Linked DNA regions of Rattus norvegicus. The protein of the gene in region 3 purifies or fractionates together with the protein of the main gene of each other region. This does not show direct contact. Links are inferred from orthologs where the notes say so. Each region holds a gene or a part of one and is shown on either strand. Other genes may lie near its edges.

Evidence for each region.
Region 1: the proteins of Ppp1cc (region 3) and Tanc2 purify together in Homo sapiens (affinity purification with mass spectrometry; 3 studies listed by BioGRID and IntAct, counting the BioPlex papers as one, with this or other methods). This does not show direct contact. The link is inferred for Rattus norvegicus from reciprocal best matches to the Homo sapiens genes PPP1CC and TANC2.
Region 2: the proteins of Ppp1cc (region 3) and Pfdn2 purify together in Homo sapiens (affinity purification with mass spectrometry; 4 studies listed by BioGRID and IntAct, with this or other methods). This does not show direct contact. The link is inferred for Rattus norvegicus from reciprocal best matches to the Homo sapiens genes PPP1CC and PFDN2.

The regions. Positions count from the first base shown.
Region 1 is NC_086028.1:91,049,352-91,059,170, forward strand, and holds the start of Tanc2 (protein TANC2), read left to right. Parts: upstream 1-3,715; 5' UTR 3,716-3,971; intron 3,972-9,819. UniProt on the Homo sapiens protein: Scaffolding protein in the dendritic spines which acts as immobile postsynaptic posts able to recruit KIF1A-driven dense core vesicles to dendritic spines.
Region 2 is NC_086031.1:86,302,016-86,311,931, forward strand, and holds the start of Pfdn2 (prefoldin subunit 2), read left to right. Parts: upstream 1-3,812; 5' UTR 3,813-3,822; coding exon 3,823-3,897; intron 3,898-9,916. Other genes in the region: Nit1 (deaminated glutathione amidase), read right to left, coding at 613-876, 1,551-1,676, 1,811-1,944, 2,154-2,257, 2,362-2,619, 3,016-3,111, 3,679-3,680. UniProt on the Homo sapiens protein: Binds specifically to cytosolic chaperonin (c-CPN) and transfers target proteins to it. Binds to nascent polypeptide chain and promotes folding in an environment in which there are many competing pathways for nonnative proteins.
Region 3 is NC_086030.1:40,055,107-40,064,773, forward strand, and holds the start of Ppp1cc (serine/threonine-protein phosphatase PP1-gamma catalytic subunit), read right to left. Parts: upstream 6,196-9,667; 5' UTR 5,943-6,195; coding exon 5,888-5,942; intron 1-5,887. UniProt on the Homo sapiens protein: Protein phosphatase that associates with over 200 regulatory proteins to form highly specific holoenzymes which dephosphorylate hundreds of biological targets.

The sequences.
Region 1 (9,819 bases), on a different chromosome or scaffold from region 3:
AATCCTTAACAATGAAGGTAAGGTTAGTTTGTAGAAGGAAGCAGCCATGTTTAAAAGTGATGTATGATTGAGGGGCAGAGAAAGTGACAAATCAGAGACAGGTTTGACAGAATGAGTCAGAGACAGGATATGCCCAACTCTTATGAGAATAGCACAGGAAAGAGAGGCCAAGAGGAGAGAGAGAGAGAGAGAGAGAGAGAGGAGACAAAGAGACAGAGACAGACAGACACACAAAGGGAGAGAAAGAGAGAGGGGGAAGGGAAAAAGAGAAAGAATGCTGTGTGGTGGTGGTGGTAGTGTGTGTGTGTATATATGTGTGTGTGTGTTGTGTGTGTGTGTGTGTGTGTGTGGTAATTTTACATAAACAGGTTATAGAGAGAACAGGCTAGACACAGGTGAAGATAGAATGAGCCAGAGAATGAGAAGGAGATTAGGATATATTGCCAAAAGTTGTATGAGGCAGGCAGAGCAATTCAGTCAGAAGCCCAGAGAAGCATGACTGAATCAGTCAGCTTGGAAGATTAAATTGTAACAAGGCTAAGATCTTCAAGACTTCAGCTTAGCAATAGTTTAAACAGAGAAGGAAACATTCTGGTCTCAGCCCAAGGTACTGGGCTTAGGTACTTACTGATCACATCTTATCCCTCCTGAGGAAACAAAAGTGAAATTTACAGGGCATATATTGGTTTCCCAAATTAAGTTATAGACTAAAATACCTTCTTAATGAGAATGTGTTTTTATTAAGTAAATATTAGATTCCCAATATTTTGAATATTGATTATAGGGAAGCAAAGGGAATCTGCTAGAGGGGTTGAGGAGAGAGATGGCTTCAGTGTTGTTCTCTGCCTCTGCTGGACCACATTCCTACCCTTAGCAGTCACATATTGTTTCCTTCACAAAGTCAGACTGTAATAATAAACTCCTAGGCTTGACTGCAGGGTTATGTGGGAGAGCACTGGGTGAAGTACGTTGATGACCAGAACAGAAACTGAGCTCATTCCGGTGGACACCAGCACCGCCCAATGGGAATATAGGGTCTGGAAAAGGTCAGTCAAAAGAAATGAGTTCAGAGGTGCTTTATTGGAGCAAGAGACCATGTGGGTTACAGCTATCAGCAAGAATCCAATAAAGAGATCAGCTGCTAAAACTGGATGATTACAGTGGTGTTCCAATTGCCAGGAAAATGGGTTTAAAGATTTTCATTTTGTGAATTATTATTAAACCCTGTAAAAAAAGTTGCAAACAGATTTAAAAAGGGAATAACAGACATATTATTTCTTTTAAAATATTATTTTTTAATATGTGAATATCTGCATAAGCATAATATAACCAACTTTAGGGCTGGTAAAATTGTGTCAAGTCCATATGGCAGAATTCAATCTACCAATATTTCATGGTGCTCCACAATGAACACCATAATTTCTAGGTGCTGCCACCTGAACTAGTTTGAAAAGCGACATATTATACCCCTGACTGCCTTATTATTTCTCAAAGGAAGGAATGTTATTAGCTTCAGCAAAACTCACAGGGAAAGACTTAGATACAAAATAATCTGTAAAATAAATGAAAAGACTAAAAGAGGAGGATGGAGGGTAAACTCAAGTGTAAAAACAATGTAACAGTTGGTATTGTTCCATGGACACTCTATTGGGCACTATATTCTATGCTAAATATTTCTCAAAGTTTTGTTTAAATTTCATAACCATTCTGTGAGGTATCATGACCCATTCCAGACAGATGAAGAAAAGACGTTTCAAAGACTTGCTTAAACTTATATACCAAGGTAAGTGGAAGGTGACACTGACCAAACCTGTTTTCTGACTCCGAAGATAAGCATCGTAATGTTTCAATGTGAAACTGTTGAAATGTAACGTTTCTTTGTGGGCTAAAGCCGAAACAAAGACACAGTTTCCTTTTAAGGAGTGTATGCAGGTTGTGACCATTAACCAGTGTTGACCATTCTAATAATCCAGAAGATTCCCCTCTGATGACCCCTTCACCGACCTCAAATATAAGTTATTAGTACCCTACTCATATCACCATGGGTAGGTAGGTTTTAGTTAGACTGAATTAACTTTTGGAACTAGTACCAATAGTCCATATGTCAGCCTTTCACTTTGCCGTGCTAACCATAAACATTCTTCTGAGTTCTACCTCAGAGTTCTCAATTTTTCACTGGAATGGCTCGCTTTCCGATATGACTTCATATTCATTTTTTTTTTGGTATTGCACTGAAATTGAGACAATTTTTTTTTTAAATCGAAGAAATTATACAACAAAGTGCTATGGGATTGGGGTAGACTCAGATGAACTGTTATCAAACTAACCAACCAACCAATCAACCAACATCTTCACCTTCTAAACTGCACTGAAACAACGCCCTTTATTGATGCAATTTGTGAATCTATTTCCAATCATGGCATTTCATTAGGAAGCAGATGACGAAAAAGTCATCTCAGTTAATGGAACGGAAATTCACCCAAGCAAAATATGCAACGGTGATTGCTTTGTATCATCTTGCAGCACGTGGGGAAATTTTTTTTTACTCCAAGAATCCTGCCAAGTTGAAGGGGTGTTTTCGGGGTGTGAAGGGAAGGAAGCAAGCTAAAGAAAATCTAGGCGGAGAGTTTGGGGAGAAACATGACTGAATATCCTCCAATGGGGTCTTAATGTGATGACTTTCTATTCTTTGCTGGGTGCCTTGAAATCACATTAGTTCTTATTCAAGCTGGTAATGACAGAGGCAGCATGGCAACTTTACCGAGTCTAGCAAGCTAAGGTTAGAGAATTGTCAGCAATTGTTCTAGGTGACAGTTTTCTTTCTTCCTCTCTATTATCCTTACGCCTACCCTACCCTCCCCCCGCCCCCCCCCCCGCCCGAAGCCATTGTTGTTTTTCCTCCCATCCCTGTTCCAAAGGCAACGGTGGCATCCTGAAAGCAGTCTACACGCTGCCACTGAGAAGCAGGAGAGGAATAACTGACACTTGTTGGCGTCGATGACTTTGAGTGACACGTGTGCCTGTGGTGACCAAAGTGGGGGACAGTCTAGAGGAACGTTCGGGCTATCAAAGGAGGAGGAAAGGCCCCCAGAAGTGGGCGCACGTGACAGCAGCAGCCACCTCGAGAGTGACATCATCCCGAGGGCGGGGCCAAACTCTTCAGGGCCTTGTCAGCTCTTGAGCTTCCTCTCCTCTTCCTCACCAAATGCCTTCGACCCCACCAGCCCAAGCCCCCTGAGGAAACCAGAAATGCCTACACGTCCTGCAACGCCAGGGCCCCCTCTGTCAGCGCAGCGCGGGGGTTCACCACCATCCTCTCTCGCAACGCCTCCCCACCCCCAGGCCGTGGAGGGGCAGGGGGCGGGGGCGCGCGCGCTCCACCACGCACGCGCCCCCACGCACGCGCTCTCCCTCCGCGCTCGCGCTCCTCCCCAACCCGGCCCGGAGGGGGCGGGGCTGCGGGCGGCCTCCGAGGGTGCGACGCCCCCGGCGCGGCGGCGGCGCTAGAGAGCGGCCGGCCGGGCGCGGGTTGCTGGGCGCGCGCTGCTCCGGCGGGGCCCGCTGGCCACAGCCGCCTCGCGCCAGCCGCCCGCCCAGCGCGGCCAGCTGCGAGCGCCGCTAGCGCGGGGCCCCAGGCGGCAGGCGCCGCGCTCCCTCCGCCGCCCCGCGCGCCTCCTCGGGCGGCCCCGCCCCCGTTCCCATCCCCCTCGCGCTCACCTCCCGGCTGTGCCGCGCGCGAGGCGGAGCGAGGCGCCCGCCGCCGCCGCGGTGCTGAGGGGCGAGCCTGTCCCCGCGCCTCCGCTGACAGGAGGACCGCTGCGGGCTGCCAGCGCTCGCCGGCCGCGAGGCCCCGCCGAGCCCGACTGAGGCGCGGATCCTCCGTGGGGCGTCCGCGGGCCGTGCGGTCCTCACCGGAGACCACTGGCACGCGGGCTTGACCCCGAGGTGCGCCGCGCCCCTCAGAGCGGCAGGTAAGGGCTGGAGGAGCAGGGAAGAAGGGTCGGTAAGGGTGAGGTGACAGGGGCGTTCTCTTGCGACGCCTCAGCTGCGGGGTTGGGGCTGGGGCGAGCGGGGAGACAGGGAAACGGGCAGTGAAGTGCCTCCGGTGTCGAAGGCGTGGGGAAGGCAGGCTGCCTCTGAATGTGGGATCGAGGGCGGCTTCGGAGGACTCCTGGGGTCTGCCACTTGGCTGTCACCGAGGTTAGTCTTGGTATTGGGTACCTGGAGAGTCTTGGATGACGGGGACCGGGATGAGATGCGAGGCAGATTGCTAAACGTGGCAGGGAATGTGGTGCAGAACGAGTTGCAAAATGTGTCCCTGAATGCAGCATAAAAGTAGTTGTGAAATGTGCCAGGTAAAGGCACAGGCTAGGCTGGCCTCCGTGGCATAGAAATGCATGGAAGAAGTGTTATTAGGGATATGAATAATTCCTTTGGGGAAGGAGGTGTACTATAATAAAAGACTAATAGGGCTCTTTGCTACATATTCTGTCGTAGGAGATCGAGAGGAGCTGCGATTTTTGACATAGGGAAAGTACCCACGTGAAAGCAAAAAAAAAAAAAAAAAAAAAGCAGATTGTCTGGTTGTGAGATGGGAAAGAAAAAAATTGGGCAAAAATCATTTCAGGTTTTGTCATCAGCAGGTAGAGCACCCATGCAATTGTAGCCTGTCTCTCGGTTCCAGGTGTGGAATGTTTAAAATGTTTCCCAGAAAACATAAACAATGATCATTAGCATTAGGAAAAGATTGGATGTCTTTCCTTCTCTCTCTGCTTCTCTCCAGGAAAACAAAAAACCCCACAAACAAAAAAAGACAACCAAGCCAAGCATCCTGACCACAATTGTGTGCTCAGGATCCTTAGGCAAAGGGAATGATTTTTCATCTGTGTCCGTGCCTTGGCTTTTACACAGGTGAAAATAAGTGGAACAAGGAAAACAAAACAATATGGTGAACAAAAGGGATAAATTTTCAGGCATTTGGAAGGGTTGGAGCCAAAAGCTATGGCAGTGGCTAATTACAGAGACTGGCAATAGTGGAATATTCTGGTATGTTTTAGCTGTTGAGATGGGATGATGAGATAAGATAAAAACGGTATACAGTAAATTGGCATAAAACGCAGCAACATGGACACTGTCAATGTAGTGTTCCTTGTAGCGTTTACCAGGTAAATCATATTAGGGATTCGAGGGAAAACCAAAAACAAATGAAACAACTGTTCCTTATCTTTCTTCCTCCTTCCCTCAACCCCATCTTTCTAAGTGTGTGTGTGTGTGTGTGTGTGTGTGTGTGTGTGTGTGTGTGTCCACATGCTGCAAAACGCTGTGACTTCATTTAAGAACATCTGTGTTTGGAGAAAATTGTCAGAACATACTGTAATTTCAAAAGTAACAAAAGACAGCTAGATGAGCTATGTAAAAATAACATGTGTATACATTGAGTATCTGTGTAACTGAAACAAAAGCAGAACTATCTGATGCGTTCACCAGGATGTATTTAATTATTAATGACACTTTAGTGTGTTATGTTGGAATTCCTATAAATCGAATTACCTGTGTGAATGTTGTTTTTATTATAGTGATTTCCCAGATATCTGAAAATTCATACTGATTGGCTTTGCCCTGACTCTAGATTCATTCATCGAGGGATCATTTCCTTCAAAATCGAAATTGGATTTTCCTTGATTAATTCTGAATTTTAGTCTTTTCTGTAGATATATTTCCCTTACCTTGAGGCTCTGTTGAGGCTAAAGAGAGAAGAAGGCCAGAAGAGAATAAAGAGCAGTTAGTTCTGTTGGGTCTTCCTGTTTTGTTCTGACTGTAAGCCATATATGTACTGCCACCCCCTACTGTCTGTAGGAAGAGGTGTTGCAGAACCCTGTTCTTTTCTTGTTCTCACTGCCCCCTTGTGTAAGGGAAGAAATTGATAGCTGCACTTTTGGGAAACAGTCTTCAGACCGTTCTTTATCACTGGAGTGGCTATGCAGATTGATTAATCACTTGTTTACTTTAAAGTGCATGGCTAGGAACATATGTTAGCCAGGTCTGAGATTTAACGTCCCTTTAGATAGTATGTGATATTAGTCGATTCTGATTGCTAAAAATGTTTACAGTATGTTCTAGAACCTGGGATTCTATTACTTCTAGTAATAGGTTACATTTATATAGCACACACTTTGTGCCAGTCCTGTACATTGTTTATACAGTTACAAAATCCTTTTGAGGTATATATTGTTATTTCCATTTTACCCAGGAGAAATGGAAACAGATCAATTTGCCAAAGATTATGTAGCTGGGAATTGGAAATGCTGTTTCAATTTAGAAACTCTGCCTCCAGACTCTGGCTGCAGACTGTCCTTCATCACTCTCTTGGATTGTCCCCTCACGTTAGGATTGACAAGATGTACTGGGCTTAAAATGCACAGATCCATCACAAAGCAAATACTTCAGCTGTGGATAAACTGTCTACACCTATGTAAAGAATGATTATAGTGAAAAATTTCTTTTTAGGTATTTGTTTTTAAATTCTTTTTCTGTGATTATAAGCAATAAGTTTTCTTATTCAGAACTTTTCATGTGGTTAAAGGCATATCTATAGCCATGTTTTCTTTGAGGCGGATCTTTAGAGATAAAAAGTTACATGCAGGTAGTTTGATACACACATATACCTCATGGTATTTCTAAAAAAAGGACGGGTAAACTTTTATTGCTAAGTTTATTTGGAAAATCAAGAAGAAATTATTTTTCCTACATACTTACATTTTAGGATCTTTGTTTTAATGGGATTAGCAAAAGTGGGTTGGATCTTTTGAATAATCAACTCTTCCAAACAAATGTTTGCTCAGATTTTTCTTAGCACTTAAACCATGGTTTTATAGGTATTACTTATGCACAAAGACGAATAAAGCACAAAGAACAATAGTGCACTCCACACTCCTCACATAGCCTCACTCGTTTAGAAAGTAGGCTGTCATCTCTCACGACTGTGATAATTGTTTTCTTTGCAAATCATTTCTGCCATTCTGTTCACAGAAATGTTTTCTGGTTACCTTATGTCTCACATAGCTCATGTAACCAAACACTCTTTTACTTTGATATACATTTGTTGATATTATGGGTATTTAACGTATTAATTATGGACAAACCATTTCAGGATATAAAACTATATAACTTCTTATCCTCAAGAAATTGATTGAAATATAGACTTAGACTTGTACTGATAGACTTGAAGTTTGTACTGATAATATTTTACTTGTAATTTGGTTTGCATTTTTACTGTAAAAATTTATTAAACCTTCAGTGGTTTATGATAGTATCATTGACTTTTTTTTTTTTTGAAACAGCCCCAGTTGACACTGACTTATCCATTCTGTTGTGCGTCCATAGTGATAGATATTATTAAAGGCATGTGCCGCTTTGTCTGGCTGTTATTAATATTTTTCCTCCAGTGGTGCTAGAGATTAAACCCAGGGCCTTGTGTTTACTAGGCGTATATTCTTTATATTAAGCTACACTCCCAGCACTTCACCACTGAATTTTACTCCTGCCATGCTAGCTTTCCTTTCTTGCTATAGTTGACTTTATCCCGTTAGTATTTCCTAAATAATTATGATTTTTTGAATGAAGAAGGAAGTGGACTCTAAATAGGAATATACTAATAACAGGAGTTCCAAAGGGAAATACTGAAGTGGTTGATACTGAATGTATACTGTAATAATTATGCATTACAATGTATAAGATTCTTTGTCATATTATTTTTTCTTCTTGAAATACAGTTAAAATCTGAGGGAAACTACTTGGGTACTCTAGCTGAATTATACTGGTTCAGATTCAGAATCACCCAAAGTTAAGGAGAATATTTTTACTGATGGTACCCAGATTCCTTTCTAGTACTTAGAGCAAGCTGGTACAGGTGGCTGTTTATTTTTCTAACACAAATCTGAGCAAGGTAGCAAATACTGGAAGCTAGCTTAAGTATTAGACATTTCTTTTTTTCTCTGTGAATTAATTGATAACTTTTTAAATATTTGCTTAATATGCCTACAGTCATGAAATACTATTATTTGATAGGAAGATAATACTGTAAAAATAAATTTTTATGCTTTATTATATTATGAAGACTGTCTCTTGGCTTATTTGAATTGCACGTTTTCTAGTAACATACTAAATGAAAGTTATTTAAGATCAAAACAACAACAACAACAACAACAACAACAACAACAACAACAACAAAAACCAAACCAAACCAAACCAGAACAAGGAGCTAAGGTAATGGAGAATAAAATCCACTCAGGGATAAGCTGTGTCTGTGGGCTCTTGAAGCTGTGGAGAGAAACATTGAAAGTTTAAGGCTTAGAAGATGTGTTTTCTATTCAGAGTTCATTTTTCTCTTAGAGAATGTCTTACTGTGAGTCTTATGATCAAAGAAATTGTAGATGGAGAGCCAAGAACTCAGTGTCTGAGTTTCAGACACGTACACAGGTTGTGGATGTGGAAAGAGGAGGGACAATATTACTCCAGAAAGTTCTAAGTAATTGTAGTACCATAATTATTTCCAGAAGCACATTTCTCTTGTTAGGTCATTTGCTTTTGAGTTGTAGTGCAGAAACATGGGCCATTTTATGTGCTGGGCAAGTGTTTTTGAGTTACATCTCTATCTCCACCCCAAAGAGAACATTTGAAAGCTGTGTTTGTGGATATGAAAGGATCAAAGGAGTTTTGTGGGCCACACCAACGTATCTTGCTGTCTTCAGCTTCTGTCTGTCCTTCTTTAGTCGATGATAAATATGATCAAGTTTAAGAGACAAAGGAATTAGGCTGATGCTAGTCTTTATCACACTTTATTTTTTTTCTCCCCATAGAATCAGTTTCTATTTTTTTTCCAGTAATGGTAAACACAACCTCTCTAGTGTCTTTTTATTAGAACTCAAGTTAGTCTGCTATCAGTCGCCTAAATTAAGCTATTGCATTTTAGTCAGTCTTCTTGGCGTGCTAAAAAAAAAAAAAAAAAAAATCAGATTGCCTGGAAGACTGCTTTACTCTTTATGTGCCTTTCTTTTGTAGGTCCTTCCACATTGCTGTCAGAGTGATATATCTGCACCCCCCTCTGTTAGTGGTGATAGTAGGAATGGGGTGTGTGTGTGTGTGTGTGTGTGTGTGTGTGTGTGTTGCATACACATGGATATGAAGTATACACCTGTGCATGTTGAGGCCAGAGGAGGGCAGCGGATGTTTTCCTCTGGTGCCCTCTTCTTTCCCTTGAGATAAAATGTCTCGTTGAACTGGAAGCTTGCCTTTTTGGCTAGGCTAGCCTTGCCAGGCCAACTTTGGGGATCCATCTGCCTCTCTCTCCTGATGCTGAGGTGCAGGTATATGTGGCTATAGCTTGTATTTTCTAAGGGTGCTGGAGATTCAGACTTAGGTCCTCATGCTTGCACAGAAGCTGCTTTTACCCATTGAACCATCTCCCCAGCCCCAGAATGACAGTCTTACAATTTTAGCTGTTCATTTTAGTTTCTTCAAACTTTAGTGCTCCTCATTAGAGGAAAAAAAAAATCAAATGGGAGCTCCTTAGCAATCAACGAGTTAATTAATGGCTTTTCCTTGCATCTTTTGACTTACTACTTGTCATATTTGTCTTCAAGTTACTCAGTAATTCTGAATTCCTTTAATATATAAAAATCTCCTAAATTTTCATATTTTATTTTGTATAAAGGTCTCTTTGCCTTGTACTACCCCTCCCCTTTCCTTTGTTCTATGGGCAAATTCTTAACGTCTTGGCCTAAAACAGAATCTTTTGAGTGAAGAAAGTTATTCTTATTC
Region 2 (9,916 bases), on a different chromosome or scaffold from region 3:
ACTTTCTCTGAAAAGGAAGGGGCGGGGGCGTGACATTTCCCTCCCCTTTTCCAGTGAAAATAACAAACTCTTACCCCACCCAGGGCCCTGTCCCTTTGCTTCCTTCTGGCTTGAGAGAAAGTGGGGTATTTAGCATCAACTCCTCCTCCTGTTCCTTTATCCTCCCTTCTCCCACACTTGGGAGAACAGAGCTGGTCCATGCACTGAGCATTGCACTTTGTTAGGTAGGGAGGCACGTTTGAGCCAGGAGACTAAGAAGCCTAGTCGAGCAGGTACAATTCCACCTCCCTTCCCAGCCCCAAAAGAGATGTCCAGACATTATGATTGATTATTATATTTTTTTTCAATGCCAGTGCTGCTCAGCCCTCAGCACAACTTCAGTTTTCATGAAATAAACAGTGACTATATAAAATTTCATTTTTCTGAAACTGAAATCTGAGATCAGGTCAAAGTCTCTTCTTTCCCATGGACTTGATTGAGCCTGTGTTCCATTAGGAGAGTTAAGTCCTGCAAGTGAAGGGAACCGTGCTTGGGTCCAGCCTACAAGTCACGGTAGCATCACCTCACAGTTGGCGTGTGTTTGTCTGTCTCAACCAACAGAAATTAAAAACATTAGGAGAGTGGCAGGAGACTGCCATAAAGGTCAGGTCTGCGATGCTGGAACACAGGCAAGTGTTGGCGCATCTGTTGCAGAAAGTGGAGATCAATTCGAGCAAGGCAAAGGCCTGGTCCCTCGGAACAGCTGGCCACCACTGTGCCCCAGGGGTCAACCACCATGCTGTGGCCGTAACTTGCTCTTGTCTCATGGTGGCGTCCACACTGTGCTGCTGCTATCACGTAGCACTGAGACTCAATGGCGCGGGCCCGCAGCAGCACCTGAGGATGAGACGTGCGTACTCAGGAACATACAGCATTTAATAGGCGAGTGACAAGAAGCGGACACTGTGGGCCCAATCTACTCATTGACTATTGATCAACTAGAATTAGTAACTAACTATAACATGACTCACACCTATCTAAGAAACGAATTTCCTCACCAGATCGGAAGGGAAGAAAATCCTTCAAGTAGAAGGGGAGGGGTGTGTTTGTGTTTTGTATTTTTTTATATAAGGTCTCCTTGTATAACCTTGGTTGGCCTGGACCCACAGAGATCTGCCGGCCTCTGCCTTACAGTGCGGAGATAAAAAGCACACACCACCATGCACCACTATTTTGGGTGGTGTGGGTTACTTTTGTTTTGTTTTGTTTTGTTTTGTTTTGAGACGGTTTCTCTGTGTAGCCCTGGCTGTCCTGGAACCTACTCTGTAGACCAGGCTGGTCTTGAACTCAGATCCACTTGCTTCTGCCTCCTGAGGGCTGGGATTAAAGGTGTGCACCCCCACTGCCCAGCTTCTATTTTGTTTTCTGTTTTACTCGAGGCATCACTATGCTGGCTTTGAACCTGTGGCTATCCCCTGAAGTGCTTAGAGTTTAGGTTTGTGCTACTCTGTCCCCACTACTAAAAATAAGATTAAAGGAGGCCTATATGTTATGAAGAGGCATTCTCCTACCTCCCAGTGGGCTGGGCCGGTAACAGATCCAAAGGCTGAAGGATAAGTAAGTATTTCTGCCCCAGCTTGAGCCAATTTCAGAGAAAGTTCAGGGAACCGCATGTCATAACAGATTGCTAGACCAACCTGAAACGAGAAACAACCCACTCATCTTCCCTGTCCTGGTCAACGTAACATTGAATACTACCTCCATCATCCTACACCAAAGGGAGATGTTACAACTTTTTCAACATATTCCTATTTTCTTTTCAAACTCCTACCTTGCCTGCTGGTGTCTTGACAGGTGGTTCAAGAGCGTATCCAGGCATGGTATAGTTGCTTTCTCTCATAGGCCCCTGACCTGGGATCTCTACATCACATAGATGTGTCTTCCTGTAACTGGCCACTACTGATCCTAAAGTAAGAGAAAATGCTCAGTACAGACACTGGAAGTCCAGCTTAGCTCTTCTCCCAAAGAGTAATTTTTAGGCTAAGAACAGAAGCATTCAAAACAAAACAAAAAAACCCCTAAAGCCAAGCAGTTGAGAAAAATGCTGAAGATCTGAGTTGGAAGAAGGTAGATGAGCCTAGGAAGAGGCAAGCTGAAGGACTGTGAAGTCTCACCCTTGCTGTTCAGAAGCACATGACAATTGTAGATTTTCTGAGTCTGCTCCCAGTCTTGGCCACGCTCGTGGAAACCACCCAAGGACAGCCAGATTCCACATTCCCTGAGGGGGAGGGACACTGACAACTCTACCCCCTCTATGTGGCAATCCAGGAACACTGCCCAACAGGGATTCTACCCCTCCCCACCCCCACCCTACCCTTGTACCTGGCAAGCTGGCTATATTGTCCCAAAAGGTCCCCATCCAGTGGTTCGGACAGGAGTAATGTCTCGGCAGGATTTCGTGCAATAAAGTCAAATGCCTCAGGCAGAAAGGCCAGGCAAGCGCCCAGTCTGGTAGCCTCTTGAACCAGCTCAGCACACGTTTTAAAGTTCTCTTGCTTGTTTGGTGTTGATGTTACCTGGCACACAGCCACCAGGGGCAGCTCCCAGGAAGTCGATGAGGACTCTGCCATGGCTCTGGGCCTGTGAATGACACAGGCAGTTTTCTCAGGATTTCTACCGCGTGCCGCGGAGAAACTTGGGAGGCTCAAGTGGGGGTGGAGCCGGAAACTTACTTTTTTTTTTTCTGATTTTACCTCCCCTTTGAGACCGGGTCTTTTTGTAGCCCAGGCAGACCTTTCTATGTAGCGGGGATGATCTTAAACTCCTAGTTGATCCTCCTGCCTGTTTCCCGAGTGCTGGGATTAGAGGTGTGTCCCACCAACCCTAGCGACTTGTTTTCATTCTTCCAGAGCATTAAATAACCCTAAGCTACTGGAGTACACGCATTAAATGTTTGGTGGATGGCAGGTCCACTATTCGGTTAATAAACATGGACTTAGCAACTACGTGCTAGACAAAGAACATAAAATATGTTACCTGGGCTGAGTACAAAGTACTGAGATTTGAGGTAATCGGTATCCGGTACACAGAAGGGACAGGAGTTGATGAGGAGGCCTGGTGATGAAGCCCAGCCTGAAGAAGGTGAAAAATCAGGACACCTAACCCTCCTTCAAGCTGTAAGTTTCTAGAATTCTCTGCCATTTCCAGACCTGGCCAGTAATCCCCTCCCCCAAGGCTTCGAAAACACTTTACTACTAGTAGTTATGAGATCATAAAATGGGAAAATGGAAGAGGACACTATGATCGGTGCCTTAATACCTCAACTTCCAGTGATCTCACATTAAAACTGAAGCCCTTTTCCTCTGCCAAACGTTTCCGCAGTTCAAGTCATCTCATGGAACCTTCCTCGTTTCCCCAATTCTCTCTTCTCGGCTGTGCCACCTGGACAGCTTTATAGACTCAACATGTATCTTTCCCCTTGTACCAGAATCTCAGAAGGAAAGTTCACCCTCCTTAGATCTCCACCATTCTCGTGGTGGGTAGGTAGATGGGTACAAGATCAGATCCCAACCCGAGCCCCCGCCCTCTGATTAGCGCGTCCTTCCCCGGCTCTCCCCGGGGCAAGAATCTCTGTTGCACAAGTTAAAGCATAGCAGGTGGAATTCACCGCAGCAGGCAGGGTTGGGGAGTAGGTCCTACATGAAGACACAGCCAAAACCATTCGCAGGGTCGGATCTGAAGAGCTGCCAGAAGCCAGAAGCGCAGGAGCAAGTGGGCGGTAACCACTAGAGCGGATGTGACGCAGTGGGAGTGCGCAGGCCGGAAAGCTTGCAGGTGGGGAAGATGGCGGACAGCAGCGGTCGTGTGGGCAAGAGCGGCGGGAGTGGCACGGGGAAGGGGGCGGTGTCGGCGGAACAGGTGAGGAACCGCGAGCGTAGAAGGCACCTGGGTCGGTGTCGAGTTCGTGCAAGGAAAAGGACTTGTGATTCAGAGGGGCCTTTAGTCCTTCCCACGTTCTCCGTGGTCACGCACAGGGGAGAGGGCGTTTTTGGGGGTGATCACAATCCTTTCTAGGGCGTGAGTAGGTGGGGTAGGTAGGTGAGAGGCACGCCCGGGGTGTGGGTGGGTAGTCGAGAGAGAAAGCTCTTAGATGCAGGATCTGGGAGGGTTGTCCAGGTCCCTAAGGACATGGATCGTCGTCTCCCCCTCTACGAGGTACCCTAAAGAGAATATGGTGTTTGAAGTGTCATCTAGTAACGAATCCCAGGCTGTTCTTAGTCAGTGAGTGGGTTATTTAGTCTTTGACTCCAAAACCGTGTTCACCATCACAAACACGCTGCAGAGCCACGTGACTCAGACTCTGACCAGTTTAGTGTTCAGTAACTATTTGGACTAAGGAGACTGTGGCTTAGTTATTTTCTTGTTTTGTTTTGTTTTTGTTTTGTCTTGGGGTGGGGATGAGGGTTGCTATAGGGTCGGGCTGGGTCGCTCTATGTAGCCTTGCTTTTCTGGAATTCACTATGTAGACCAAGCTGGCCTGGAACTCACAGAGATTCGCTTGTTTCTGCCTCCCAAATACTGGGATTATCTGGGACTACTATTCCTGGCTCGGGTTGTTTTCGTTTTTTGAGACATGGTCCAGCTCACTCTCTATGCTCCCTTCTGCAGAGACTTAAGTTTTCAGAAGAGGCTAGAAACCATTTTCTAATGCAGGTGTGATTCTGCTCTTCATAACATCGGGATACATCTGACGAATTAATCAGAAAGCCCTTTGTGGTATAGGGACCATGTTTTGTTAGTCTTGGGACTAGTGTTTAATTGATATTAGAAGAACACACAATTGGGGTTGGGGATTTAGTTTAGCTCAGTGGTAGAGCGCTTGCCTAGGAAGCGCAAGGCCCTGGGTTCGGTCCCCAGCTCCGAAAAAAAGAACCAAAAAAAAAAAAAAAAAAGAAGAAGAAGAACACACAATCGAAATGAAAATAGTTGAAGCTAGGGGTGTAGTTTGGTGGGTTAAATGGGAAAGCCTTGAGGTGTGGGGTCTGGGTGGGTGTCTGTTCTCACCTGGTATGGAGGTCCAGGGTTGGGATTGAAGAGCTATTTTAATCATATATTTGTCAGTTGCTTGTTGAGCAATCACTGCAGGTAAAAGTATCAGCATAGGGACTGGAGTGGTGGCTCAGCCGTTAAGAGCACTGACTGCTCTTCCATGGGTCCTGGGTTCAAATCCCAGAAACCACATGGTGACTCCCAACCATCTGTAATGAGATCTGATGCCTTCTGGTGTGTCTGAGGATAGCTACAGTGTACTTATATATAATAAATAAATACATCTTTAAAAAAAAGTATCAGCAGAAATAGTTTAAAACCCATACTGTTGGAGAGCATCGTCTGTTGAAGTGGGGTTTACAGTTCTACTATGAGTCGGAAAGTAAGTATTCAAAGAGAAGTGACATTCTGGGGATGGAAGAGGCACCTTGACAGTGGGAAAGAAAAAAAGTAAAGCTTTTGAGAGTCTGTCTTGTGTTATACTTTGCTTAACACAGAGAAACAGGTAAGTGAAATAGACTTTATCTTAAATTTGGACACAGCCAAGTGTGATGGCTCATACCCATAATCCCAATGGGTTACCCTCTCAGTTCCAGGCTAGCCTAGGTTACAGAGTGAAACACAATCTCAAAAACAAACAAGACAGACAGAATGGCAAATAAAAATGAAACAACGAGACTTCAAAAATATGTTATGTATATTTGCATGTCTGAGTGTGTGCATGTACCACACCTGTGCAGGAGCCATTGGAGGCCAGAAGAGGGGTCCAAGCCCCTGATAACTGCTTATTAGCTACCATGTGGGTCTTGAGAACCAAACCCAGGCCTTCTGCTATAGAAGTAACAGTTCTTCCACCGAGCCATTGCTCCAGTCCTTACACCAAAAACTTCTGCACATGATTTCTCTTCTTACTTTTTACCCTCCTCTATCTGTGAAAACATGTACTTCCCATTTCATAACTATTTAGTGTACTAGGCAAGAAAATTCATTCGACACCCTCCCCCCCCATCACCATGACTAAAAAACAGAGACTACAGAGTGTGTTGACTAAATGCTAGTTAGGGGTGGAGAGATGGCTTCTGCACTTGAGCACCTCATCTCACACAAACACATACATACATGCACATGATCTGAACAATCTTTCTAAATGCTAATTTGTTTTTATTTTCTAGAGGATTCTTCAGCTTAATTCTAAAGGCTGAGGAAAGTTAGTCAATGTGAGGATTTTTTTTTTTCGTTAGAAGAAATGTGTTCATAAGCCTTGAGCCATGAACTGCCCGGCCTTGGAAATGCTGGAAGATTTAAAAGAGCTGTATTGCAAGACTTGAAGAAGACACAGTCAGCCTTGTTGTTCTTTGACACAAGTTTTTTTCATGTGGCCTAGAACTCACCAGCCAGGCTAGGATGGCTGGCCAGAGAGTCCATTGACCCTCTCTTCCCCAGCACTTGGATAACAAGCCTCAGAATTTAAGTTCCCTAGCATTCCATTGCCAGGCAGTTCATGCCTCAATACCATACCTCCCCCACCCCCCAAGTTCTCAAACTCTGGTTCTTTGGTTCTTTACCTGTGGAACTTTTCTTCCCAATTTAAGTGTTTGTCACTGATACAAATTCAAGCCTGATGTGACTTTCACAAGGAAGATAGGAGCAGGTCATACTTTCTACTAGGCCCTTGTTTTATTTTCGGTTTATCCTATTTCTATTTATTGTTTATTGGTTTGCTGCTGTTTTATCTGAGAGAGGATCTCCCTCTGTAGCCCTGGCTAGCCTGGAACTTGCTATGTAGACCATGCTAGTCTAGGGCTTGTGGCATTCTTCCTGCTTTGATCTCCCAGGTGTACCACAGCACTTGGAGGAGTGAGTGCGCGCGCGTGTGCGCGTGCATGTGCGCGTGTGCGCGTGCATGTGTGCGTGTGCATGTGTGCGCATGTGCCAGCCAGCCACCCACATGCGTGCCTGGTGACCTTGGACTGTGGGGGTCAGAGCATTGGATCCTCTGGAGTTAGAGACAGTGATAGTTATGGGTTTCCATGTAGGTGCAGAGCCACAAGTGCTGCTGAGCCATCTCTTTAGCTCCCCCAAATCGAGACACATAAACATTATGTACACACATATAATAATGAACTAAACAACTGAAAAGCCCTGCTGCAAAGTAGATTGTGATGTACACGCCTGTAAGAGATCCCCTGTATTTGGGGGAGAGGTAGAGAGGCAGGATTAGGAGTTCAAGTTCGGGGTTGGGGATTTAGCTCAGTGGTAGAGCGCTTGCCTAGCAACCGCAAGGCCCTGGGTTCAGTCCCCAGCTCCGGGAAAAAAAAAAAAAAAAAAAAAAAAAAAGAAAAAAGGAGTTCAAGTTCATCCTCAACTAAATAGCATATTTGAGGCCAGTGTGAATCTCAAAAAGACAAGAAAATTCCTGTCACTTGTCAAAGTTCAACAGGTGTTTCGAAGAGGACAGAGCCTACTCAAACACTGCTTTATACCCCTTACCCTCCAAACTCATGACCTTATAATGTAAAATACAATCATTCTGTCCCAGTAGTCCCCAGAGTCTTACATTGTTCCAGTACTAACTCAAAATTCCAGGGTCAGTTGTGAGCCTGTGCAATGAGAGTAGCATATGCACGTTCATCATGTAATGCAGAGGCAGGCAGAGGGTAGACATTCCCGTTCTAAAGGAGAGAAGTAAAGCCAGGAGGAGGCTTTACTGTTAAAGCCTTAAGTCTGAATTCCGAGAGGGCAGGCATGGTCTTACCGTTCTATGATAAATTATCCCTATATATGGCATTTGGAAACTCTGGGGCAGGAATTGGGCCTCTAAAATACTAGACAGCTCCACAGGGCACAGTCCATGCTTCATGCACTTGGGCTGGGGGCATACCAGTGCCTGCAGCTTGCCCGGTTAGGCACTGTCCACTGACAGTTGCTGTACTATTAGAGATCATGGTGGCTGCCTGGCCTAGGGCTTGTTCCAGTGAGGATTCCCCGACAGCTCCCATTCCTACATCAGGGTTTTCCTTGCACCCCTGTTTAACCTCCCACAGTCCAGTGCATCTTGTGAAGTTTTGGTAGAGGAAGCCATTTCTCCACAGCTCTTGCATTCTGCATGCCTCCAGAATTAGCACCACGAGGCATAGATACTACCACAGGTTACTGCTAGTAATGCTTTCTCCAGCTGCAGTACAAGCTGTACTTGAATAAATAATGGAGCATGCTGGGATGTGAGGAGCAGAGGCTAGGTATACTGGGCTGTGAGTTCTTTCTGCCCTTAAGACCCTAGCTTTTGGTTCCATGATTGGAAAGACAGCCAGGGTCTCCAAAATGCCTTCGGAACGTTTTTTGTCATTGTATGGTAAATAGTAACACTCAGCTTTCTCTGTCAGTGCTAATTTGTGCACTTGCTTGGTAAACCTCTTTGGGGGGGGGCAGGTTGGGAAGGGAGGGAAACAGGTTTGCATTTATTTATTTTGTGTTTGTGGAAATGCCACAATGCTCATGTGGTGGCCAAAGGACAATTTGCAGCAGCTGTTCTCTTCTTCCACCTTGTCCATCCTGGGATCAAACTCAGGTAGCCAAGATTGGCTGCAAAGTCCCCTTACCAGTTGAGCCATCTTACTGGCCACTGTCTTGACCTATTTCCACTTTGTACATAGACAGCCTGTGAATTGTATTAGATTTCAGGCTCTATTTCCTTCCTTCCTTCCTTCCTTCCTTCCTTCCTTCCTTCCTTCCTTTCTTTCTTTCTTTTTTTTTTAAAGATTTATTTTTATTTATTTTATAGATGTGAATACACTGTCTCTGTCTTCAGACACACCAGAAGAGGGCATCAGATCCTGTTACGGATGGTTGTGAGCCACCATGTGGTTGCTGGGATTTGAACTCAGGACCTCTGGAAGAGCAGTCAGCGCTCTTAACCGCTGAGCCATCTCTCCAGCCCCACTTCTTTTCTTTTTTTTTTTTTTTTTTTTTTTTTTAAAGACCTATTTATTTATTTTATGTATGTGAGTACACTGTAGCTGTCTTCATACACACCAGAAGAGGACATCAGATCCCATTACAGATGGCTGTGAGCCACCATGTGGTTGCTGGGAATTGAACTCAGGACCTGTGGAAGAGCAGACAGTGCTCTTAACCGCTGAGCCATCTCTCCAGCCCCTCTTTTCTTTTTTTAAAGTTTATTTTTATTATTTTTATTTCATGAATATTGGTGTTTTGCCTGCATGTATGTCTGTATGTTAGAAACTCCAGAACTGGAGTTACAGAGAGATGTGAGTAAAAAAGGGGGTCATTCTTATCCCTACCTCACTCACAGATGAGAGGGACTCAAACTGTGACTTTTTATTTTGGCTTTGGCAGGTACTGGGGATTAGCCCTCATCTACTTTTCTAATGGTTGGATTGCTTCTTCCCCAGCTGTGGACCTCAGATACTTGCTTTTGAACTCTTCCTGGGTCATTTCTGCTCCAGTAGTTGGTGTTCTGGTGTTCTGGGGAGGCATTTTGTCCTGGCACATGCTGCTGGTCCATCATGACTAATGGAGACCTTCTGTTCTCTCTGTCCTCCTTCCCCTTCTTTCTCATTTCTCCTTCTCCGTTGTGGTCCCTACCTGTGACCCCAGCCCTGGGACTCAAGCTCCACTTCTCTCTGTTCTTCCCGGTAATTGGTTGTAGCCGCATTTATTTAACCAATGCTTTTAAATTGGGGGGTAATGTTTGCATAGCAGAAGCTGATGTAATGGGGATTGCTTGTCCTGGGGCAATGAGATCTTGGGGTACAGAGTTTAGCATTTGAATACATAGCAGCACTCGAGTAACCCCCAACAGGTGAGTTGCCATGTGGGTGCTGAAACTGAACCTGAGTTCTGGAAGAGCAGCCAGCGTTCTTACCTG
Region 3 (9,667 bases):
GCCTAGAAAAGGGACGGGTAGGCATGCCGATAGCTAACAGCCAAGGCTGTTCTGTAGAAACTGCGCTTACGTGGAACATCACTAACATCAGGAAGTATATCAGAGAAGTTTCACCAAAAACCCCACTGACAACAAACCCAAAGCTTATAAACCCTGAGACTAACCAGGCTGCTGCTGTTTGCAGGCCTAGTACCTCTCCAGACAGCAGTGACCTTCCACGGCCTAGCAACAAGCAAGACTGCATTACAGGAGGGAGACTAGGAGTCTGCATACAGAGGGACAGAAAAGCCTCCACAGGGTTGGTAGAACCCTTAGGGCCCATCATACACCAAGCCCTGGGGTTCCGCCCCAGGATAAAACTGGGCATGTTACCAAGAGGATCAGAAGTTCAAGGGCCTTCTCATCTACATAGACCTGTCCCAGCCAGCCTAGGCCAGGAAACTCCATCTCAATTAAAAAATAATCAGATAAAAAAGGAGGATAGGACAAAAAAAAAAAAAAAAAAAAAAAAAAAAAAAAAGGATAGGACAAAGCACCAGATGAATTACAATGCAATTTGGAACCGAGCGTTGCCCGCACAGGAGCAAGTCTGCAGCTCTTGCTGTCTGAAGACAACCTGAGTCACCACCAGCCACACATACCCAGTGTTCATCCCAGGCAGGCAGATCTGAGTACAAGGCCAGCTTTTTCTACAAAGCGAGATCCCTTAAAAATAAATAAATAAAATTAAAAATGTACCTTAAAAACATGTAGAAAAAGATCTTTTTTTTCTTTTTCTTTTTTTTCGGAGCTGGGGACCGAACCCAGGGCCTTGCGTTTGCTAGGCAAGCGCTCTACCACTGAGCTAAATCCCCAACCCCGAAAAAAAAATCTTAAAAAAAAAAAAAAAAAGATAGATAGATTTATTTATTTATTTATTTATTTATTTATTGTGTGAGTACACTGTCGCTGACTTCAGACATGCCCATTACAGATGGTTGTGAGCCACCATGTGGTTGCTGGGAATTGAACTCAGGACCTCTGAAGAGCAGTTGCTGCTCTTTACCGCTGAGCCATTTCTCCAGTCCCGTAGAAAAAGATCTTAAACCAAACTTAGTACTTGCCATACGGTATACTTTCTTGCAAACAACCAAGTATTTTCTACAAAATATGTAAACTAAAGAAACTTTTCAAGAACCCCCTTTCCTCTCAACAGCAAAAAACCATGGCTCTACCTCACTGTCTGTCTCACACCCCCTCCTCCACCTGGCTGGGGACTGCGCCGCCATGCACACTCTGGACTTTAAGGATAACACTGATTTCCTCTATGTGGGCAGCCAGGATGTGGCTAAAAAGCTCCAACCAAAAAATATCCCAAGGACACATCTAGTCTTCTATGATGAACACTAATTAAATTTGATCACAGTGTGTTTTGTTTAAGTCAGACCCTGGACTGTCACCCTACAATCTATTACTCAGTGGTGGGAGACAGGAGGATCAAGAGTTCAAGGTCATTCCCAGCTATGTAGGAACTGGAAGGCAGCATGAGAATCTGTCTTGAAAGAGAATTGTTCCCCAGCTGAACACATCTCAGCACCAGTGCCTTGCACACTGGACCCTATCTATGTGCTTCTATTTCCTGTAGGTCCTAAAAACACACCCTTCGAAGGCAAGAATGTCAGTAACCCGGACACAGAGGTGGGAAACATCATCAGAAGGCAGTACCCTGCCTTCACACTCTTGACACAACTGTGACCTCAAGACTGAAGACCAAAATTCATTCCAGAATTATACAGCTCAAGGAAATGGGATTTGCCTTACTTCAAGTATCCTGTGGTACTTCCTCAGTTATGAGGCAGTTCCCATCTGACCTTTCTCCCCTCATATTTAGGCCGTGCGGTATGCCACAAAACCCAGCATAAATCAAAGCAGTGAAACACACTCATTCTCTCTCTCTCTCTCTCTCTCTCTCTCTCTCTCTCTCTCTCTCTCTCACACACACACACACACACACACACACTTCCCTCAGACATTAAAGTGTACTGACCACCCGTAACCCACTCCCTATGGCCCTTACACCTGCCTTCTTTGAGAGCTGGTTGGCTGCATCCCACCTGCCTAGTCAGTCCTGCAGCCCAGCCTTGTATAAGCAAAGGGCAGTGAAGGCTCTGGGAGTCATACTTGGGGTGGGGGTATGGTTTCTGTATGTAGCCCTGGCTGTCCTTGAACTAGCTCTATAAATCACTCTGCCTCTGCCTCCAAAGGCTTGTGCCACCAATATCCCGCCCAAATTAGAATTTTTTAAGACTCCCACACCTACAGATCCAGGAGAGGGAGGGTCCTGCTCTGCCTGCCAGGTGAAGTATGGGGACAGACGCCTATCCACGCACAAGGAGGGCAGGATGCCCCTTATTAATGATCCTGCTGTGTGTCCTCTGCTCAGCTTAGGGATTGCTTTAAGACCATCCTCACTTAAATCTTTCATTTAGGCCCTTGGCTTTCTAGAAACTCTAGAGCAGGAGCACTGAAAAGCCACACGCACAAGCTACTTAAGAGAATGGTGGGCCTTCAGAGGGATGAGAGCTGGCAAGCACTCTGTATTAGCAGAGCCACTTCCCAGCCTACACTGACAATGACTTTCCTTTACACAAACATCCTTCTTGCACACTGCCATGTGAACAAACTAAAATCATGTGCTAGTCAAGAAACGCTACAAGTTTCACGAAGAAAACACCCCAATTCCCATTTTCCCACCAAAATAGCAGAGCAGGGTGCTAAGTTCACACACAGCTTGTCTGTTTTCTGTCTAAGTCCCTCTGCTCTCGCGTGTAGCTAACGGCGCTGAGGAGTGGCACACACCTGCAGGGTGACTGGCTCAGGGAAACACTACTGCATTTAGAGTGCTGCAAAGCTGTAGTGCTTATGAACCAAACCCTGTCTCCCGTCTGTCTCTGTAGTTGAGACTTGCCTCTAAGAACTCATGTAGAAGCTAAGCTAGCCTTGACCTCCTGACTCTACCTAAGTGCCTGCGACTACAGGTCTATGCCAGGTCATGACTTAGCCTTGGGTGGCCTAGCACTCATCTCTAAGTCAGACTGGCCTTTAACTCAGAGATCAAGCTGCCTCTGCTTCTCAGTGCTTCGATTAAAGGCATGTGTCACGATGCCCAGCTTAAAATGTATTCGTGTGTGTGAGTGTGAGTGTGAGTGTGAGTGTGTGTGTGTGTGTGTGTGTGTCTGACCCCAGTTCTGGAGTAACAAGCCTTGAGGCACCTGCTGAGTGCAGGAGCTGAGCTTGGATGGCCTGGGTGAGTAATGTACACTCTCATCCACTAAGCCATCCCTCTAGACCTCAGCCTTTGGTTTGGTTTGTGGGTTTTTTGTTTGTTTTGTTTTTGAGAGGGTCTTATTACATATAGTTGACTGGTGTGGAATCTGGTATATAGACCAGACTGGCCTCCTAATTCTTCCTTCTAGGATTAAAGGTGTGTGCTCAGTGCCGCCTTAACCTTTAAAAGACCCCCTTCTCAACTCCTTCATTCAGCCCTAGTTTGGACGATCTTACGGAAGGGTTCCACATATGAGCTCTTGCTACCCTGCCCTAGAACTTCTGGCTTTTCATGCCTCACACTCCAGTGTGGGGGTAAGCAAGCTGCCCTGACTGAAAGGTATCAATTACCAATATGGAGAAACACCGCTTCATCAGGTGACAAATCTTATCTCTCCCTTTCAGAATTAGGCCCGTAGTTCCTTTTATATCTTCTTATGTGTGTGTGCATGTGTGCAGCGCCACACTTGCTAGAGCAGTTGTGGATGGAGGGAAGGGAGAGGACAACCCTCCAGTTCTCTCCTGAATCTCATGTGGGTCCTGAAGATCAAATCGAGTCTTCAGAATTAAGGACAAGAGCCAAAACCCGCAGAGCCGTTTCTGAGGGCATTACAAAGAATGCAATCCCATCATCCTCTGATCAGATCCCTGTGGCCTCTGTCAAGCACTTCCATAAGTAAGAAACACACACATGCACTACACAGCTAGTTACTCTCAATGTTATTTAAATGGTGGCTTACTCTGTTAAGTTCAACAGAAAAGAATAAATCAGGCCAGACATGATAGTACAGCTTTGAATGCTAGCACTCAGGAGGCAGAGGCAGGCGGATCTCTGAAATCCAGGCCAGCCTTTGGGACACAGCAATATCCAGTCTCAAAATTTAAAAAGTAACTAAGAAACTATGGGAAGCCAGGTGTGGTGAAAGCTTTTAATTCCAACACTGTGGACAGCTGAGACAGAGACCAGCCAGAAAACGGGGAGATGGGGGTAGATGGTTGGGGGACTGAAGTGATGACGGTTCTTGGAGACAATCTGGGCTCCACTTCTAGTACCCACACGTGATAGTTCAGGTCTACCTGTAACTTCAGTACCCAAGGACCCAATGCCCTTTTCTTCAGCATATGATGCACATACATACATGCAGGCAAATTCTTGCAAATAGAAAATGTTTTTTTTAAAGAGGGAGAAAGGGAAGCTGATGAGATGGTTTAGTCAGTGGAAAGTCTGCCTTGCAAGCCTGACCGGCGTTTGATTCCCAGAATCCAAACAACAGGAGAGAACCTACTACACCCAACTGTCCTCTCAACCTCCTCATGTGTGCTGTGGTCTGCCTGCATCCACACACATGTGTGCTGTGGTCTGCCTGCATCCCACACATTCCACAGGAAAAAACAAGTAAGTCAGGCTTAGTGGTCTATACAATTCTAGTACTTGGGAGGAGGCAGAAGGATCAGTGTTTAACGCCAGTTCTGACTCCTGAGACCCTGTATCTAGGAGGCATGGTGATACAGAAGATGCCATCAATGAGGAGGGGGAGGAAGAAAGATCTGTGAGAGTTTGAGGCTAGCCTGGTCCACACATGGAGCTCCAGGATAACCAGGACTGGAGAGACCATGTCTCTATAAAACCAAAGCCAAGAAACCCTATCTAAACAAAACAGAACACAGCATTAGAGAGGGGGAAATGACCATTTAAAAAAAAAACAAAAAACACACTTTTTGACTTTTCTTTCAGCGACTTGAAAACATCTACCACCAGAATTAAGCAGCTGTCCACCACTCCACCAATATTTTAGGCAAAAGCAGTGAAAGCAAGAAGGTTACTGGATTCCCCTTCTCCTTAGCTTTAGCAGATACGCTGTGGGATTTGTGAGGAGCAGGTTTTCAGACCTATGTAAAATCTGAATATCGAAAGTAGGAATCCACTGCAGAGCCGTCCCCCCCGCCCCAGGTTGGACAAAAGGAAAGCTGTATTTTTAACCTTTACTCAACCACTGGAAATTCTGTGTTCCCACAGGGTGAACGGTGGAAAGGTGGCAGGTTCTACCTCGGTCCTGGCAACCCGGGGTTTTAAACCTGATTGTTAACTGCATCCTTGGTCCAGCGAGGTCTTTTTGAAGTTTCTCTTGCGAAACACACTTCCAGGATAACAGCACCTACCTGGCAGGTGCTCGCTGAACGCAGCAGCGTCCCCCTGTCCTCAGGACAACAATCTGATGAGCAGAGAGCCACAGTCACCCGGGCTGGGTCCGTGTGCGGATGCACGTTCAAGGGGAAAGAGCACTGGAGGGAGGAGGATGGCTTTGGGGTGTGGGGGGGTTGGGGGAGGAAAATGAAGGAGACGGGCTCTCATCGCACTGGGACGTCGCCCTGCCAAGTCACACTGATGGGTCCTTGGACTCCGGATAATGAGAATGTGAAAGCAAGGGCAGGGGGGTGACAAAAAGGCAGGGTCCCCAGACCGGGAGGCGCTGTGTGCGCGCCCCAGATCCAAGCGGCTCCCGAGAAAGACCGGCCTCTACTGGGCCTGGTCCCCACCGGCCCAACCCGCCGCCCGCCCGCCCGCCCGCGCGCCGCTCACCTTCCAGCAGCCGTTGGATGATACTGTCGATGTTGAGTTTATCGATATCCGCCATCGCCGTCCCGCCGCCGACCCTCCCGCAGCGGCGCCGCCGCCGGCTCGCGCCCGGGTCTCACTCGTCCTCCTTCTTCACGCCACGAGCCCCACGAGCGGTGGTGGCGGCGGCGGTGGCAGCAGCAGCCGCGGCGGGTCCCCCCCCCAGCCGCCCCGCTCCCGGCTTCCTCCTCCTCTCGCCACTGGAACCACGAGAAGAACAAAATGGCCGCCGACTCCTCAGGCCAGCCTCGGGCGGCGCACGGATGCGCGCGCGGGAGTGCAGCGGCCGGGCCGGGACTTCTTTACAGGCCCATAGGGCGCGCGGGAGGGGGCGGGGCCATCTGCAGGAGGGGGCGGGGTTTGGCCCACGGGGGGCGGAGCCCGGGCAGAGACGGTTGAGCGACGCTGCAACAGCGCGCGGGATCCTTCCGCCAAACGGGCGGGGGAAATAGACCCCCCCGTGGCGGGAGAGTGAAGTTGCAAAGTTGGCGCGCGCGAGTTGGAGATGGGCATTGACCGGCGGCTATGCGCTGCAAGGGTCACCCTCTCCTCCCGACTCTGCTGCTTTGAGACAGAAGTCGGTCGACCTGGCCGGGTGGGAACCCATTAGGGAGTCACCCCTCGGAACCAATCTGGGGTGGGGTTGCCCGTGGAGTACCCTAAAGAGGAGGAGGTTGGAGCGTTGGGGATTCAAATATTCCGGCTCATTGGTGAATAGGAAGAGCTAAATACACGGCTCCATGGTAAGAACTCTTGTCTAGTATGTGTGAGATCTTTGGTTCAAGCCCCAGCACTGGCAAGATTTAGTAATTCTGCAATAAAGCACCTAAGATCCAATATTTGGGGGAAAAAAGAAGACCCCAAGATAAGCCCAAAATGTTAATCCATCGTGAGTAGCACATTATTTCGGTAATGTGTGTGCTTCTTGTGTGCATTTCTGCAATTTTACATTTTTAGAGAGAGGTTGGGAGAATTCTGTAAGGGATGCTATCTATCTTTCAAATTGTCTTCCTTGAACTCAGAAAGTTAAATAATAACGGAGAGATTCCCCTGCATTTAGCCCGAGCTGGGTTGAATGAGCGCGCCGGAGCAGAGAAAATGGGAATTTGCACATTTCGCGCTAGGAACGCGGATGTTAGAGGCTGCTGTGCGCTCCAGGTTTCAGCACATTCAGCGGCTGCTTGCCTCTAGCTTCCTCGACTCCCCAGGGGCACCCCTTCACCCAGGGGTCCCCAACTCTGCTGCCACTCAGGCTAGCTGCATATTGGAAGAAATGCACACCCATCTGACCCATTTATCTCTCCCAGTAGCACTCCAGAGTTTACAAAGTACTCTCTCCCCCAGTCCCCATTCCAGTTCATCATGTTTCTCAAAGCAGGAAGGATCGGAAGACTCCTTTCCATGCATGCCTTGCGAGGTGGTTTCCCCATCTAGAGATTCATTTTCTGCAAGCTCTGTCTTCCCACGGCGCCGCATTGTGGTGTGGGATGCACCCATCCAGATCTATCCAGATCTGTGCCCCTCTTCTCCTGCCGGCCCGCGGGCAGTGGAACTTCAGGACTCGCCTCAGCTCCCCTCAGCCCTCTGCTCCACTTTGCCCACTCACCAACTCACTGTCCTAAGCTGTGGTTTTGCCCACCGTTACACAAATGGTCATTCATAACACCAAGGGGACCAGCTCACCGGGCATCTTGACATCCTGGAGTCGATGTCAGGCCTTGCTGTGACTATCTGTGGAGGTCAAAGTGGTCCTCACGGAGTTGTTTGGGATCGTGGACTCCTCCAGGGCAGGGTATCTTCCCCGGGACACCGTAGGGGCAGGGATATGTAAGCCAGATTCACTCGGGAGACATTTAGAGTGTCTATTCTGGGTGGAGCAGGTTGAGTAAGACAGGGAAAGCCTTTCTTTCCCTGGGGAGATTCATTTAGTGGGATGGAGAGACAAACACACACCACCCTTCCTAGTATGAACCAGAAACTGTCTCAATGTGGAAGCTATCTGAACAGCTTTTCAGGTAAAGGTGATAACCACCAAGTCTGCCAACCAGTTTGAGGTCCATCCCTGACACAGGTTGTCCTCTGACCTCTGAGCAGACATACATACAAAATAAAATGTAATGAAACATTTGACAAAAAAAAAAAAAAAAAAAAAAAAAAGCAACCTCAAAGCTGAGCTGAGTTAGATATGGCTTTAATTCCAGCACCAGGGAGGCAGAGGTAGGCAGATCTTTGTGAGTTTGAGTCCAGTTCCCGGCTGGTCAAGACTGAGAGCAAAACCTTGTCTGAAACAAAACAAAATCAGCTCATGGCGTCCTTGGTACAAGCCTAGAGATGATATATTCCCAACATTCCCATTTTACAGATAAAGTTAGGCATAGAGAGGCTGGGTTGTTTGCTGAAAGTCACACAGCGAAGTTCCAAGGGGCAGGACTAGAACTGGGGCAGCCTGAAACCACAGTCTTTTGTTTAATAAATCCTTCTATGCAGCCTTAGGAGCCCAGCAGACCTTGGCCCATACCGTGCGTGTTACTCCTGGGGAAGCCAATGGAACGATCTAAATGTTTATGCCCACACCGTGTGTCATAATTTTCTTTTTTTTTTTAAAGATTTATTTATTATATATAAGTACACTGTAGCTGTCTTCAGACACACCAGAAGAGGGCATCAGATCTCATTACAGATGGTTGTGAGCCACCATGTGGTTGCTGGAATTTGAACTCAGAACCTCTGGAAGAGCAGTCAGTGCTCTTAACCACTAAGTCATCTCTCCAGCCCCTGTGTCATAATTTTCTAGATGCCAAACGGCAGGTATATATGTCACTCGGTCCATGTGGTGAGGGCTGAAGGAAAATTACAGACGAGCCGGTAGAGGGGACAATTTCTATCAGGCAACCTCAAGAGACAAGTCACCAACAGAATCCATAGCCACGCCTCAGAGGACTGGCTCCCTTGAGAGGAAAGAAGCTCACGACGACGAGAGCCTGAACTTCTGTCAGGAACCCTTAGCTATCAGGATGACCTTCAGCTACTGATTCTCCTGCCTGAACCTCCAGAATGTTGAAATCCCACGTGTGACTGCAGAGCCTGCTGAATGCCGTGCCGGAGACAGAAAACAGGGCTTTGGGCATGCTCGGTGAGCCCTCAGCCAGCTCAGCCCTACCCCAGTCCTCAGGGTGGTGGTGGCACTCAATCCCAGCACTTGGGAGGAAGTGGCAGGCGGCTCTTGGAGCTCAAGGCCAGCCTGCTCTACAGAGTGAAAGCCAGGACAGCCAAACTGCTGTCTACAGCCAGGGCTGTACAGAGAAACTCTGAAAAACAAACAAAAAAAGTTCCACTAAAAAAAAAGGGGGGGGTGTGGGGATTTAGCTCAGTGGTAGAGCGCTTACCTAGGAAGCGCAAGGCCCTGGGTTCGGTCCCCAGCTCCGAAAAAAAAAAAAAAAAAAGAACCAAAAAAAAAAAAAAGGTCAAGGTTTGGGGAGGGAGCTCAGTGGTTAAGAACACTGTCTAGTCTATCAGAGGACCCAGGTTTGATTCCCAGCACCCACATGGCAGCTCACACCTGTCTGTAACTCCAGTTCCAGGGGATCCTGACCCCCTTACACAGAGATGAATGTAGGTAAAACCACCAATGTATACACACACACACACACACACACACACACACACACACACACACAAGGCCAGATGTAGTAATACATGACTTTATTCCCCTTGGCAATCAGAGGCAGGCAGAGATCTGAGTTC